Linked DNA regions of Tribolium castaneum. The protein of the gene in region 3 purifies or fractionates together with the protein of the main gene of each other region. This does not show direct contact. Links are inferred from orthologs where the notes say so. Each region holds a gene or a part of one and is shown on either strand. Other genes may lie near its edges.

The links. The genes of interacting proteins can lie anywhere in the genome.
Region 1: the proteins of 14-3-3epsilon (region 3) and Unc-115a purify together in Homo sapiens (affinity purification with mass spectrometry; 3 studies listed by BioGRID and IntAct, with this or other methods). This does not show direct contact. The link is inferred for Tribolium castaneum from reciprocal best matches to the Homo sapiens genes YWHAE and ABLIM1.
Region 2: the proteins of 14-3-3epsilon (region 3) and NELF-B purify together in Homo sapiens (affinity purification with mass spectrometry; 3 studies listed by BioGRID and IntAct, with this or other methods). This does not show direct contact. The link is inferred for Tribolium castaneum from reciprocal best matches to the Homo sapiens genes YWHAE and NELFB.
Region 4: the proteins of 14-3-3epsilon (region 3) and partitioning defective 3 homolog B purify together in Homo sapiens (affinity purification with mass spectrometry; 3 studies listed by BioGRID and IntAct, with this or other methods). This does not show direct contact. The link is inferred for Tribolium castaneum from reciprocal best matches to the Homo sapiens genes YWHAE and PARD3.

Annotation. Positions count from the first base shown.
Region 1 is NC_087395.1:21,870,625-21,874,699, reverse strand, and holds the start of Unc-115a (actin-binding LIM protein 3), read right to left. Parts: upstream 2,801-4,075; 5' UTR 2,696-2,800; coding exon 2,560-2,695; intron 2,451-2,559; exon of another isoform or gene 2,188-2,450; coding exon of another isoform or gene 2,187-2,187; intron 2,135-2,186; coding exon of another isoform or gene 1,941-2,134; intron 1,891-1,940; coding exon of another isoform or gene 1,181-1,890; intron 1,117-1,180; coding exon of another isoform or gene 753-1,116; exon of another isoform or gene 713-752; coding exon of another isoform or gene 279-712; exon of another isoform or gene 216-278; coding exon of another isoform or gene 1-215. Other genes in the region: uncharacterized protein LOC135265271, read left to right, coding at 1-215, 279-712; uncharacterized protein LOC135265312, read right to left, coding at 753-1,116, 1,181-1,890, 1,941-2,134, 2,187-2,187. UniProt on the Homo sapiens protein: May act as scaffold protein. May play a role in the development of the retina. Has been suggested to play a role in axon guidance.
Region 2 is NC_087394.1:30,669,130-30,673,207, reverse strand, and holds the start of NELF-B (negative elongation factor B), read left to right. Parts: upstream 1-1,278; 5' UTR 1,279-1,448; coding exon 1,449-1,565; intron 1,566-1,621; coding exon 1,622-1,720; intron 1,721-3,101; coding exon 3,102-3,893; intron 3,894-3,907; exon of another isoform or gene 3,908-3,947; coding exon 3,948-4,078. Other genes in the region: uncharacterized protein dikar, read right to left, coding at 1-538, 597-685, 756-783. UniProt on the Homo sapiens protein: Essential component of the NELF complex, a complex that negatively regulates the elongation of transcription by RNA polymerase II.
Region 3 is NC_087401.1:11,229,210-11,233,216, forward strand, and holds the start of 14-3-3epsilon (14-3-3 protein epsilon), read right to left. Parts: upstream 2,801-4,007; 5' UTR 2,698-2,800; coding exon 2,634-2,697; intron 1-2,633. UniProt on the Homo sapiens protein: Adapter protein implicated in the regulation of a large spectrum of both general and specialized signaling pathways. Binds to a large number of partners, usually by recognition of a phosphoserine or phosphothreonine motif.
Region 4 is NC_087395.1:16,345,604-16,349,651, forward strand, and holds the start of partitioning defective 3 homolog B, read right to left. Parts: upstream 2,801-4,048; 5' UTR 2,649-2,800; intron 1-2,648. UniProt on the Homo sapiens protein: Adapter protein involved in asymmetrical cell division and cell polarization processes. Seems to play a central role in the formation of epithelial tight junctions. Targets the phosphatase PTEN to cell junctions.

The DNA.
Region 1 (4,075 bases), on a different chromosome or scaffold from region 3:
ACTTGATTTGGCGCAACGCTTTGGGGTTGCCCAAAGCACAGTTTCTAATATTATTTTAACATTTGTCCATGTAATATATGAAATTTTATATAAACAGTTTATGACGACAATGCCTTCGCGCGAAAAAAATAAATCTTGCTTGCCAACATGTTTTAGCAATTTTACTAATTGTAGAGCAGTTCTAGATTGTACCGAAATTTTCACTGTGGTATCACGTAAGTCTATGTCAACACAGAAATTAACATATAGTACTTACAAACATCATAATACTTTCAAAGGGCTAATTGGAGTTGCACCCAATGGTGTCATCACATTTGTAAGTGATTTATACGTGGGATCAACTTCTGATCAAAAAGTTGTTTTAAATTGTGGAATAATCGACATGTTAAAAACTGGAGATATGATTTTAGCCGATAAGGGATTTTTGATCCAAAATATTCTGCCACCAGGGGTCACTTTGAATATTCCACCTTTTTTATCAAATGTCCAATTTACACCAGAGCAAGTTAAGTGTACCGAAAATATTGCACGTGCAAGAATACACGTCGAAAGGGCAATACGCCGATTAAAATGTTATCATATTTTAAATTTTTTGCCAGAGTCTTTGTGCCACTATGGAGATATTGTTTTTAAAGCGACTGCCGCTTTAACAAACCTCCAATTTCCATTAATTAAAGAGGTAGCAGAATTGTTTCAGGATTGTGATGATTAAAATAATGTAAAATAAAAACCATCTATTTATATACAGTTTATTATTGTGAAATAAAGGAAATATATTGGTCAAGATAAAATTCTTTTAAAATATTGATATTTTCTGACCACCCCGGATCTTTTTCAATTTGAAATATCTCTGTGCACTTTGGTGTCCACACGACAAAGTAGCAGATACTTCGACCAGTGATGTGCATTTGCCCCTGTACTTGGTGGTAATAATTGTGATTGCTGTTAAGATTAATGTCCTCATTTTCATCCCTCCAATAAAAATATTTTTTATCCTTCAGGGCTTCAGACAAACTGTCAGTGTCCCTATATTTATATGGGCATTTAATTTCGAGAATCCCATCTTCTTCCACTAATCCATCAGGACTTGCTCCCAAAAAGCCTGATTCTTCCAACCTACAAAAAAAAGTAATATTACATTATTCATCTAAGTTATACGTGTTAATTATTTTCGACCTACCAAAATCCCGTCTCTTGGACTTTAAGATTCGTCGCTTCTTCAAATTCTCTGAGCGCTGTCTTCTCGTGGGTCTTACCCCACTGCACAGCAGCAACCCTGTCAAGCGAATAGCCTTCCGCCAAATTTTTAAATAAAGAGGGTGGGAATCTTCGTCTACTGCAAGCAGATAGTACCATGCCAAACCTGCTGGCCGTTAAACGATGTTTCCTTGCTACATGCCAATTTTCGTTAACATGTTGGCCCCGAGTGCACGCCTCAACCAGTTTAATGCGTGCCTCATCTATTCTGCACTTCTCCAAAAGAAACTTTTGTTTGTCTATGGCCTGCACGTATTCTAAGCTTTGTAGAATTTCTTCGATATCTGCAATAATTTTTCTGGCTTCTTCACTTGCTTCTGGTCTTAGGAGCCAAGTGAAGCCCACCACATTCGTGACGCCTATTTCGGCACGGAACTGAATAATTTCGTCCTCAGTAGAGGACCTAGACAGTGCCGTATAGTTTGATAATTTCGGCTTGTAAACATCAGCTAACTTAATGACTTCTGTTTGTGGTGTTGTTTTTGATGGGGCACTCCACTGACACTCAATGTCAGTAGCACTTACATTATAATGAGCATAATATAATGCTGCAGCCATATGATGGCAAGCCACGTTGCCCCTTGGGCAGGTACAATGTGCCGTCTTAACCCCTTCTTCTAGGTCATATGAAATCTAAAACACACTTTGTAGAAGAAATGTCTAACAGTTAAATAAATACAAACCTCCACAGTATAATTTAGCTTTTTCATGCTCGGTAGAACTTCTGCAGAAATTCTCATCGGTTGTACTGTGCCATCAAACCTAAATTTGGTGACGTGACCGCTGGTAAAAGCATTTTCTCCCCGAACTAAAAAGCGATTACCGTCCCCAAAAAATTTCGCAATAAAGTGAAACTTAACAATGTGCTTTTCTGCCACTAAAATGCATAAATATAATAGTTTCTCAAAGTATAATTAAAGCTTACTCACTTTCTCACCGACAACGTGGTTCCCTGTATTCTTTTATAAAGTTCGTATTTTCACAAAAAGTCACTTCTAAATTAAATTAAAGTCTCTAGTGGCACAAATTACACCCGCTGCAGCTATTTGACACGTTATTAACGCACAAACACAACCAAAAAACCGAAAAACGTATTACACCACATGTAAAAGACTGGTTGTTTAGCTTTGAGCAACTGACCTACCGTAATAAGAGTGGGGAGGTGACGTCACGACTGATAGCGCGTATTATAACTTTGACACAAATAAATATTTCAGTACACAAAAATAAATGGAATTATTTGGACAATCCAAGGTTGCGGTACGTCACCGTCGTGCTATTATTCCAGACCTTGGAGCTCACCTTTTTTCAGCTTCTTTTCGGCTTTGAGGCGCTCTTTCTCGAGGGCGGCCAGCTTTTTCTTGTCAAGGGGCGGCTTTTCGGCCAGGATCAGCTGCTCGCTGGCCACTTTGGCGTCGCTTTTGTTTTTGCTTTTCATATTTTTCGACACTAATTACACATGTACCGACTTTGCGCGCTCCGAACAGCAGGAAACTCTCTACTGAAAGCAAAAGCACCGACTGAAGCCCCGATGATGATGACTAACGAGTCGAACGGGAGTGGAGAGACGTGAGTGCAGCAATTTAAATTGTCAAATGTTTGACCGTTCATTGCACGCACGATGGTAATTTTAGTTTTACCTTTTGAGAAAAGTGCGGCCAATGTCTTGGCTGCCCGTGGATTGGATAAAAATATGGAATTGATCGCTGGAAGGTTGCGCTATTTTCGAGTGCATAAAACTGTCGCGGTTTCGACGAATTTGGAACGGGCGTTTTGCTTGGCTGGGAGTTCAATGAATGTGGGGTTTTGTTATCAATATATCAAAGTTTGTTTTAGGAATAGCGGATCTTGTGTACATCGCTGACTAAGTATAGTGCTCTAGTTCATTCACACAAATCCATCAACAAACGATTTTATAAAATTGTCGGGGTCGTAACTCAGAGAGAATTTAAACAATGATGAGCGGTTTACTTTCGCCAGAAATGCCATAAGTTATTAGAATGACACTTATTGTACTTCCGATGAAAGTACCTAAGCAGAAAAAAAGTGAAAATGTGTGGAGACAGGACAAAGTCGTCAAGAAATTAATTCAAACACCAGAAACCAAAAACTGGAATTTTCCAATCTATAAAGTGCAAAGTCTTTTCAAAAATATTTGTTTGTCAGCAAATTTAATCGGTTCAAAATTTTCTGATATTTATTTATTTTGCTTAGTCCTAGAAGACGGGAAGATTTCCACTGTTTTTCGTCCGAAAATAATTCCAGAAAAAATATAAACTCATAAATTTCCGGAAGTTTCCAGATGGAACGGAAATGAGATCTGACTGAGCATGTTTCAACAATTTTTACTCAAAAACCGACAATTCTGTTTTTTTATACTTTCACAAGTTTATTTCAACCATTTATTTTTTATAACAACACAGTTTTGGAATATGGTGTTAAGACAGTCAGGATGTTGTGTTCTCTCCCCTTATAAGAAAATAAGGAAGAATTTTCATCCTCGTATATTTAGTCATTTTCAATTTACTTTTGCAGAAGCCCAGACTTTTGGTTACAGAATAACCAACGTGTCTGATATTTAAACACAGTTACTTAACAAGAAAGATCCTTTCAGTGATGTAACGCTTTTGTAATCTCGGATGAAACTATGAGACAAATTTAATCAGCAAATAAATCATCTCTGCGAAAAAATAACATTTATTCTCACTTTTGCAACTCTCGGCGTTACATAACACATCCAGCAACAAAACTTCCAGTTGCTTTTTAGCAAATTACGCTCGAGAAACCTTGAAGTTTCCAACCTTGACTCCTCGTCACA
Region 2 (4,078 bases), on a different chromosome or scaffold from region 3:
CAGGCAAGAAGTTCTCACTTAAAGTACGATGTAACTCTCTTTCACACTTAGCAGTCGATTTTTTAAATTTCTTGTTAAGTTGAAACCAATCGTCTTCAGTGAAACAAATAACCTGCCACACGGATTTCTTCTTATTATTCTTGGTTTTAAAGTCCTCTCTGTACAGTCTAGTACCGTAAAAATACCAGTAAGCAGATTCGTTACTGTCATAACCCAGGGGCTCAACCCTCAAGCTGTCTGCTTCTAAATTTTTCAGCTGGTCAAGCACATCATCAGCATCTAAACGAAAATCACAGAGTGCATGTAAAATGTCCACTTTTGTTCTCAAAGGTAACAATTGGAAATCAACGTCTGTGTTAAATGGGTTGTATTGATCATGTTCCTGACATTTCTGGCGAAAGAGACGTCTCAGGAACATCTGATAATTGAACGTTGAGATTTCATTGTTCGGCAAGCACCCACTGAGAAGCCTCACGATCAGTTCTTGAAGCCAAGAGGTTTCCTCCGTCCCATCAGTCAAGAGAGCCTCCTCCAAATCCTAGATCAAAGCAAAACGAATCAAAACCCGAACGCAGGAATTGTTTGCGTGGTTTTACCTCGATATCAAAATCCAAAAGGTTAAATGCTGTTCGAAACAATGAACAAAAATGTGCAATGCTTGGAACCTCCCACCATGATTGAATATCTGAAACAACGGCCAGAATTAGGGAAAACAGCACTTGAGAAGCCAAATCGGCGAATTTCCGTAAACACACCTAGGATGCTAATGAAAGTTGGAAACATAACCTATACGGTGATCAATACATGTAACGTTGTTAATTCACATTAATCTCGACGAAACTCCCCAAAAAGCCATGAATTAACGAATTTACGACTCGAACGGCGGATAACCAGCCACATTTAGCGCACTATAGGCCTTTGGGTGTCAAAAAGAATGCCATTTCTTCAACAAGCTTTGATAGGCTTCCCCCAAATCTGCGTACTAGTGCAACCTAGCGTCTATTTCTACGTCACTTAACGTCGTCACACTCGGCGTAATTTACCGCAAAATCACCGTAATTCCGCCAATTGCCCGATATTACACAATGTAAACATGCTCCTAACGCATCGCCGAAAATTCCTGACAACTGTCAGAGTCACTTTGAAAATTCGCCTTTTGAAAAACCGGAAGTTATTAGAATAGTGCTGCTTTTACCGCTTCTTATTGTATTTGACGTCGACCAATCACAGCGCAGCATTTTAAATAGGTGAAAGACCTTTGTTTTGTTTGACGCTTTTGACAGCAAATGGTGTGTTTTTTGACAATATATTTTCATAATGGGTTATGAAAGCTGTGTGTTTATATTTATTGAGATGTGTAATTGTAATCTCTGTGATACTAACACCGAATTTAAGTGATAAACTGCGTCGATTTGATGTTTTACTAGTGTAAGGATTCGTACTGCAAAATGTCTTCATCCAGAAACGATTTCCCTTTGGAAGCCCTCAATATACACGGGCCCACCTTCCTCAAACATGCCTTAACTAGTTGCACTGATCCGCTCAAAGCCATTGAAGAGTTTCAGGTACTTTTTGTCATGATTTTATCCATAGATTTGTAAATAAATTCGCTTTCTTATAGGTTACAAACGGGATACTTTTACCCTCATTACGCCCAATGCTTCCATTACTTGATCTACACGGGGTGAGAAGACTGGATTTTCACATGTCAGTTGTAGAGGTAAAGTATTCTCATTAAATATTAATCCCCTCATTAGTGGCAATGTCTGATGGGTTGGACTTTAAAGTTCACTAGAACTGGCATCAATATATTTGATTTTAAACAAACCATACACAGTAATAATGTTCAATAAGTTTCGTCAGTGAAGGGGAAGGCGTATACCTACCCAAAAATAACAAATAAAGAAAATTAAAACTAAACTATGTTACGGTCAATGTGTAAACTTGGCTAATTTGTACACTAGCTGGTTAGTTTGCAAACTAATAGAAAACCCAGTTTCAACTAAAATAGCTAGATAGTTTATAAACTATCCGATTTTTCTTAGTCATTTTTCTATTGTCTATGTATTTATTTTTTTAATAAAAACCACAGATTCAGTTGTTACGCCTGGCTCATATTTTTTAAGAAATCTTTACAAAACAGGGATTTTTCGAGGGATCATTATACCCCACTCTTTCCTAGTTTTCCTTATTTTTAGCATTAAAATCTGGCTCACATTTTAAAAAGGACATAAAAAATAGGGTATTTTTCATAAAAAATCGACGTTTTAATAGCTAAAGTGGGCTTAAAAACAAGTTATTTTTCCATTTTTGTGTTAAAACGACCTCAATGGGTTGATTTTCAAACTCAACAAATTTCAACGACTAAAACCTGAAAATAATCGTCTCATTTTCCTAAAAATTGATGTTTCAGGAAAATCTGAGTTAGAAAAAAGGGTAAAAGTCAAATTCAACGTTGTTTTTAATGTTTTCATAATAATAATTATGAAATTTAAATTAAATGTTGTTTTGAATGTGATTATTACTCGAGTACATCCCGAAAATCAGATGGTATTTAATGTATCATGGTTTTACTTAATAAGAATTATAAAACTGTTTATAATTGCTTTTATGGTGCAAACTGTATGAAAATGCGCTCAGGAGTTGGTCGATAATGTGACTCATTTTTGGTTGGTGTCTTGTTTCGTTCATTACTCCATAATTTACAACTGGATTTATTGATTTTCAATTAAAATGTATTAACACCGTATTTCCTTATTCAATTGTTGTGATTTTTTTCTGATTGCAGTAATTGTACTTTTTTTAAAAACATTTTATTGTTTTTGGCTTTAAACCGCATTGTTACGAACAAAAGTTTTGTAATAAAACGCAATGTTGGTTTACATTCTATTAGATACATAAATAAACGTGTAATCTCACAAAACCAACTTTGGTAGTAAAACGTCAAAACATAAAGTGTTTTATGTGCCCTCATTCAGGTCCAGCGAGATAAGTTTGCCATTCATGTAGACATAAATTCCATTAGTAAAAAATTCCCGAATAAAGTTCCCAACTCGCTGTATTTATTTCCCTTTAATGAAAAAATTACGATGTTGGTTCAGGAACTCCGAGAGAAACTAATCGCACACATCAATGAAATCGGCAAGCAAGAAGGACGCGAAAGGGACAGGAAGCTGAAAGATTTACTCGTAAAGAGTTTCCCTGTGGTCAAAGTGAAGGCTTTAAGGCCGATAGTGATGGCGATTTTGAAAAACACACCACAGATTGACGACAACTATTTGAAAATATTAGTTAGAGATCGGGAACTGTACAACGACACTGACACAGAAGTCAAACGGCAGATCTGGAAGGACAACCAGTCGCTCTTCGGAGATGAGGTCTCGCCTCTCTTGAGTCAGTACATCAGCGAAAAAGAGAACGTGCTGTTCGATCACACCAACATCAGCACCCAGTTCTTCGGGCCTTCCCCCAAGGTGCGGCGCCAAGGGGAAGTCGTCCAGAAGTTGGCACACATGATTGGAAACAGTGTTAAATTGTACGATATGGTGCTCCAGTTTCTTCGCACTTTGTTTTTGCGGACCCGAAACGTGCATTACTGCACTTTGAGGGCCGAATTATTAATGGCCTTACACGATTTGGAAGTTCAGGATATAATTTCGATAGATCCATGCCATAAATTTACGTGGTGCCTTGATGCCTGCATTAGGGAAAAAAATGTCGACATTAAACGCTCAAGGGAGTTGCAAGGGTTTTTGGATAACGTTAAGAGGGGCCAAGAGCAGGTGCTGGGCGATTTATCAATGACTTTATGCGACCCCTACGCCATTAATTTTTTGGCCACGTCGGCCATAAAAATCCTGCATCATCTCATATACGTAGAAGGGATGCCGAGGGTAAATAATGAGAATTTTCGAAACAAAATTATAATTTTTATACGAATATTTTAGGACAATACGATTTTAATTTTGCTCTTGCGAATGTTGGCTTTGGGTCTAAGTGCCTGGGTCATGATCGACTCCCAAGACTTCAAAGAGCCCAAACTGGACAGTCAGGTCGTTACGAAATTTTTGCCGGCCCT
Region 3 (4,007 bases):
TTGACATTTTAGTGAAATCTTAAAAAAAAAACATCTTCCTTATTATAAAAGATACACATTTAAAACAAAGACATTATACAGGCACTTTTTGCCAAAGAATTTAATAATGTTATCAGCAATTTTTTTTAATCATTCGTTTAGCTGTAATAACATAAAGTTGTATTTTTTTTAAATGAGAATCATAGTTGACTATGACATTTTTGAAAAGCTTATTTTTTTCTGATTTGATATGTCTATTTGTCTTATTGTTTTCTGAACTCAAAACAACATAAATATAGTGAGATATTTTTATATATTTTTGATAAAAAAAATTTAAATTTTTTAAAGTAGTTGGCCATGGAAAAATTATTTCACATAAAAGGTGTGAATAATCTAGAAAGTTTGTGAACGGTTTTTAAAGTAAAAAATGTGAAATTATCAAAATAAGCTATGTTAAAGTTATTTTCAATTGAATAAATATACGAGCGTCGCAGATTTTAATTACATAAAAAATGTACAGAAAATAGCAAACGATATGTCACTACCATTTGATGTCACTTTTTTATGATTTAGTAAAGTGCAATGGAGGTGACATTGATAATGTTGTATATTTTTTTACTGCAGGTGGAATTTGATTTTGGAGTTTGAATTGTCATTTTTTTGTAAAATAAAATTTTATTGATGCGCAATCATAAGATTTTTCTTCTTCCGTCATTGCATGTTTAAAATTTGAAAATATGTAGAAATACAACGTAAGCTTGCCATTTTATATAAAAACAAATAATTTTTATTAATTGCAAAAATTTGATCTAATAAAAATTTATTATGCTGTTTTTGAATTAATTAGGGTTTAAAAAATCATCAAATTATAATTACTGTTAGGTAATACAATTTTCATAGTTTTAATTACAAATCCAAAATTTTTTCATGGCCAACTATAAAGAAAAAGCGAAATGTTTTGTTTTTTCTTAATTATTTAAATTTAACGTATGACACAAATAGACATTAAATCAGAAAAAAATAAGCTTTTCGAAAATGTCATTGCCAACTATGATTCCTATTTAAAAAAAATATAACTTTATGTTATTACAGTTAAACGAATGGTTGAAAAAAATCGCTGATAACATTATTAGATTCTCTGAAAAAAAGTGCCTGTATAATGTATTTTTTTCAAATGTGTATCTTTTATAATAAGGAAGATATGATTTTTTTAAGATTTCGCTAAAATGTCAACTTCTGTTGAGATTTAAAATTATTTTCTCAAAAAACGAAGGCTGGTTTCCAGTGAGCAAAGGCGTTTATTAATCGGTGTTTCAATTTTCAATAGAATTTTTCGCTTTCGTAACACATTTGTTCATTAAAATGCGTTTTGTACTTTCTCATCATTTACATCACGTTATTTGATTACTCATCGAGCATAACACAAACTTGAAATTTAAACAGGACATTCAACTCAGTCTTCCCTTATTGATAAGAGAATCGATCAGTTGATAAAAATGAATTATCGTTTCTCGGTGAATTACCGGGAATTAAATTACATCTATAAAACTGTCCAAACTAATCCAACCTGTTATAAAACAATGTACAATCAAATGCAATAAAATTGTCCAAACATGGCAACTTGTCACATTTTTTCGATATCTATCAACTTCGACAAAAATGGTGAGGTGGATGAATCACCAGCCAAACGCAATGTTGGTACATTTCCGGCTTAATTAATATTTCACAAATGTTGAATGTAAAAGCCGGTGACATTTTTGACGCATTTTTTGTTAACTGTTGACAAAGTAAAAAAACTAATTTCGTCGTTGCAATAATTTAAGTTCAAGGACTTGACGACATACGAAACTGTCAACAGTTTGTGTTTGTTTGTGATAACACCATCGACTTTGTTTACTTTCTATTTTGTAAAATTAAAAATTGAATAACTTTAGTTGCATTTAAATTTTAAAACAAGTAGGCCATTGTATCGACAATTTCACTCCTTCTGACTGTACTTATTAGTGATTTTTAAATGCCAACTGTGTAACGTAAAACGTAAAAAATTCACCGTTTGTATTAAAAATTGACGCGATGAAAAATTTAGGCAAGAACTCTCCCGTTTTTACGTCTCGCCGTTTCGTGAGCGAACAAATAATTCAATAAAATGTTTACCCCCCAAACCCCCTAAATTTCGCAGTCAAGTTACCCGCCCCCGACGTGCATCTTTTGTTGGTAATTTCGGTAAATCCTCATTCTTCTCTGCGATTATCGATTGGCATTCGCCGCCGCCGTCGCGCTGCCACCCCCGACCCCTGTGCAGGCCGCCCTCAAAAATCAATCCCGTTTTAAAAATGCAGCGTAAAATTCCGCCGCAAATGGGACAAGGTCGGGGGCAGAATCCGCCACCCCCATCACGTGACGCACGTGCAAAACCGGAAGTTACGCAATAGGCAGTGGGCCGGTGTCGCGAAAATTCTGACATTTGGCTTTTTTCCGGCGGGGGCTGCGGGGCCGGGCGCCGATCGATGAGTCACCCGCGCGGAATGCACACGGGGGCGCAGCCCCGCCGCCGCCCGGGCGCGGGGCACCCCCGCGGCGGAAAATGGAGGAGCGTCCCGAGATGATGGCCGTTTGGGCCGGGAGGAGGCCGAATCGGGGGGAAATATACGCACCATCGTAACGTTCGGCCTGTTCTGCCAATTTCGCCTTGTAGACGTTATCCTCCCGTTCAGACATTTTGCGATGATTATCGATAGAAATTTCACAACACTAAAAAACACAGACACTCAACGTACTGCCAATATGGCCGCGCCCGCCACACTAAACCCGAACGCGATCGGACGCACATCGGCTGCCTCCGGCCCACGTCACAATGGCGCCAAATTGAATAAATAATTATTTAATCCTGCTTATCTTTCACACACTGCATGCCACAATAATTAAATTATGCGTCCTAATGGACAGCATTCGATTGACAATAAGGGACTGTTTTTAGAAGCGTCGTTTCCAGATCAGGGGAATTGGACCAATCAGATGCTCAGATTTACGAACTAATGCCAGTTTAAATTTTAATCACTGATTAGAAGACGCTTTACGGCTACTTTGGTGTTAACTGAGTGTGTTTATACAGAAGTAGAGCAAAAATAACAATTTAGGCCACTTAAAAATACAGATAAAAAATTTATGCACAAATAGGGGATTTCCGAAACTAAAAGGTTTAGAGAAAAACAAGACACATTTTCCGGTCCGCTTTTTGAGAAAATAATTTTGGTCAAAACCGCATCTCGCTATAGTTTTTTGTTTTCGACTTATAAACAAAAGTTGATATTTTGGCCAAATGTTAAAAAATTTATATCTTCCTTATTATAAAATATAGACATTTGAAACAAAGACGTTATATGGCTTTTTTTTATAGAGAATTTAATTATGGTATCAGTGAATTTTTTTAATAAATCGTTTAGCTGTAATAACATAAAGTTGTATTTCTTTAAATAGAAATCATAGTTGGCTATGACATTTTCGAAAAGCTTATTTTTTTTTAAACTGAAAATAATATAAATACAGTTTGATATTTTTATATATTTTTGATAAAAAATATATTTAAAATATTTGAAAGCAGTTGGCCATGGAAAAATTATTTCACATAAAAGGTGTGAATAATCTAGAAATTTTGTGAACGGTTATTAAAGTAAAAAAATGTGAAATTATGAAAATAATCTATGTTTAAGTTATTTCCAATTGAACAAATAATACGATCGTTGCAGAATTTAATACATAAAAAAGCAAAAAAATTGAAAACAATGTGTCACTACCATTTGATGACTTAGTGAAGTGCAATGTAGTATTTTTTTACCGCAGATGAGATTTAATTTTGGTGTTTGGATTGAGATTTTTTTGTAAAATAAAATAATAATAAATAAATAAAATTTATTATATTATATATTGACAGGCAATCATACAATTAATAAGATTTTTTTTCCGACATTACTGTAAAGAAAAAGCGAAATCTTGTTATTTTTTAATATGTAAAAATAATGTGTTACACA
Region 4 (4,048 bases), on a different chromosome or scaffold from region 3:
AATGGGCTTTATATTTTGTTCCTGACTTATTTTATATGCGGCATTTATTTTTTTAAAAACTTCTTTTGTATAATTAGCATAAGAACACTTAATATGACACCTAAACACAAAAAATAAATAAATACAATAACACCTTATAAAATAAAATAAGAACGAAAAGACAAAGCTCTTTATGGGATACTACCAACAAGTTTTAGAACTTTTTTATTTGATTTTCTTCTTTTTTGATTTTTTTTATTTATAGTTTTAACTTTGTTATACAATGTGTTTTTAAATTTCCTTTTGTATAATTAGCATAAGAACACTTAATATGACACCTAAACACAAAAAATAAACAAAACACAATAACACCTTACAAAATAAAACAAGAACGAAAAGATAAAAAAGCTCTTTGTGCTATACTCTCAACAACTGATTTTCTTTTTTTTGACCTTCGTTTTACAATGTGTTTTGAATTTTTTTTGTATAATTAGCATAAGAACACTTAATGTGACACCTAAACATAAAAAATAAACAAAACGCAATAACACCTTACAAAATAAAACAAGAACGAAAAGATTTTGTTTGATATTATAATAACTGTCATAACTTTTTTATTTGATTTTCTTCTTTTTTTATTTTTTTTATTTATTTTTTTGAACTTTGTTATACAATGTGTTTTTAAATGATTGTTATCTAGTTAACTTTGAAAATGGTTTACACGTAAAGAAAATTGCGACGCTCTTCTCAATTGAATTCTCTGTCAATAAATGTCAAAACTGTCAGTTGTGAAATTAACAAATTGGCAATTAATTACTTTTAAAAAATTCGTTAAAATGCAACTAAATTGTTACACTGACTTAATACTTAATGACTTAATAAATGGAGAATGGTAATATTCGGTGTCTAAATGTCATTAATTCTTTATAGCGGCATTTCTGATTTTACAACGGAAATTCACAGACGACTAGATGAGAATCATTTAAAAACACATTGTACTTACCAGAAAAATAAAAATGTGTACTATCTAAATCACAAATCAAAAATATCAACTGCCATTTAAAAAAATGAAAAACGAATGACGTCAGAAATGTCAATGTGTAAAAAAAGGAAATCGACCTACTCGAAGATTTTTTGAAAAATGACTCATAACAAAAATATGAATTTTTGTGTGTTACTTTTGGTTCAGTCTGTATATTATTGTGCTCATTATCTTGGTGATTCTTATAAAACTACGGGGCTGACCAACTTAAGGCATCAGTATAAGATATTACAAACACATATTATTGAAACCACCCTGTGGAGTTAACTAAAATTTAAATAATCCATTCTGTAAGTAACAGTTGTGGTAAGAATTTGTAAAAAATGACCGAAAAGTTATTAACTTTAAAAACGCTCCAAAATAAGTGTCCGATCTAAGCTTACAATTTTAATCTAAATCGAACATTTAGATTTAAAAAGTTGACTAAAAAAAGTGATAAATAAAATGAAGACGCAAAAACTGAAGGACGTTAAAATCGTAATGAGATGATGAAAAGGCGCTTATCTCCCCTCAATTATCATATTTTCATTGGTGCGGATGAGAGAATGAAAGACACGGTTCTGGGCACTTATGTAACTCTTAATTACTGAAGAATTTTCATAGTTCCAAAGGAAATGGAGTACAATTGAAAACGCCACGCTTTTTTAAAGACTGTGGGACTGTGAAACCGGCAAAACAAACAATTCGACCACAAATAAAAATCAAATAATTATCGGAAAGGTCAAACCGATCTCTTCTGTGGAATTCAATTGCAAAATCTTTGGAAACGTCTTCAATTTCAAGCGACAAGTCGAGCGTTTCTACATTTCTACTTCACTTATTGCTGGAAATACATGAACCATTTGACACTTAAGCCATTAAAGCCGTGTATTACTTTCTAGATGTGCTTATTTGAATTTCTCCACTTTCATCAACAATCAAAAATATTTCATAACAATGCCGCGACTATCGCAATTACGCTATTGTTTCGTTATTGCTACAATTAGGCGGATTTTTTCCGTTATTAAGTGTTAATACGTGAAATGTCAACCGCTTTTCCGTTGTCGGATCGAATCACAGCGAATGCACGATGGCATGTATCCGGTCAAAGGGATTATGAAAAAATGTGCGCTGAATAAAAATGAAATAAAAGAACGGACAGTTAGGTGTGATTAGAGATTATCAATCATTCCGCAGAATGCACTTCCTTATTATGGAGCGGATTTTTCCGATCTTATCCGCGCATTTAATTTGTTTCTACCTCAGCTATTTAAAAATAATGTTGCCGTTTGATCGCAATTTTTGAAAGCAATCCTGGGAATCGCTTTATTGTTCTCGACGATTTCTCTCCGTAAAAAGACGCATTTAGCACAACCACCTTTAGTCAAAAATGTTTGTGTTTGTAAACTGTCACTGTGATTGATTTCTGTGATAATTAAATTAAACTTCCTCATTTTACTGGCCCCCAATTCGCAAAAATTGCAACACTAATTAACCAACGATTAATTTAAAAGCAATTAAGCAAATCTTAAATTCATAATGCTCAGCCACACGAGCAAATAACTGGACTCAATTACAAAATTGTTAGGTAACAGTTGAAAACTTCAATAAACTGCCTTGTTATCAAACGGTGTAAACAACTATTTACCCCCGAGGACACCACACTATTTTATTGCAACACTGTGTATTAGAATAACGTAAACAACCGCACACCTGAGCGTTTCAGGTTTACTACTACGAGCGCTCGCTCAAACCAACGACTGCACTGGTGGGGCTCACGAATTTCCCTTTCCAAGTAACCAAAAGTTACCTGAGGTTAATTACCATTGGGATGAAAGTTGGAAAATTCGCAGCAGGTGGAGCGTCATTGTGGACAAGGACGTCAATGATAAGCAAATATTGATAAGATCGTAACTATGCCTACCGCAAATTTACTGAGGATTTGTGCAATCACGGCGTAAATATTTAAACTTAAACAATTGGGCTTGATCGCTGGATCTCTCGGATTTGGGTTTGCATACAATGCGTCTGGCGTTATTTGAATGATTTCTTGTTATTACAGATATGTTTGCACGTTTCTGAGTCGGATAATGCCGGCTTTTACCACTCCCTGCACATTGTTGTTGAGCTATTTCGCCTTTTTTCCACACTTCCTCTGCTATTTGGTATTCAAATAGGGAAGTTGGAATATTTGCGCTAAATTACTGGTGATGAGGTGTGCGTGGCTGAAAATTCAAGTCGAGTTTCTCTAAATATTACACGAATTATTATCAGAGCCAAGCCCATCTCAAACACCTCATTTTCCATTCGCGGCTAATTGCGTCACATTTACGAGATAAAATGGATTTTCAATTCAAATCGGAGGATTTATTGTGCAATGTAAATCACGTTCCAGTTTTTTGAGATAAAAAATCGACAATGAAACGTTTCAATGACCCATAAATATGGGTGAAAACAATTGAAACGGAGAAAACGCCACTGATAGGTGTTGTATCAAAAGCGTATCAAGGTGTCACCAGAGAAATGCCTTCCATTTGAACAACTTACAAAAGGAAAACGAATAAAACGAATTTTTTTTTTAATTTAATCATAGCATGGAAGAATCATTTTGAATTTTATTGTACTGTATCATCTGATTTCGCAAAATATGCTCTTATCTTGGTTGAATAATAAGGATTTTTATTCTAAGAAAAAATTACTAAACAATTAAAATCACAAATGAGTAACTGAACGAATTAGGTCAGTAAAATGAACAAAAACGAAATTATTTATTATTCAATATCGAATAAAAAATTGACTGTTTTTCCTTGATTGAACAAATTACGGATTAATAAGCGGTACAAATTAAATGCACAGTATTTTATTTAAACGATAAGTATTTTTGATCAGTAAAAATAACAAATGCACAGTAAAAATAATAAATGCACAGCAAAAATGATAGATGCAAAGTAAAAATAATAAATGCACAGTAACAATGATAAATGCACAGTAAAAATGATAGATGCAAAGTAAAAATAGTAAATGCACAGTAAAAATAATAAATACACA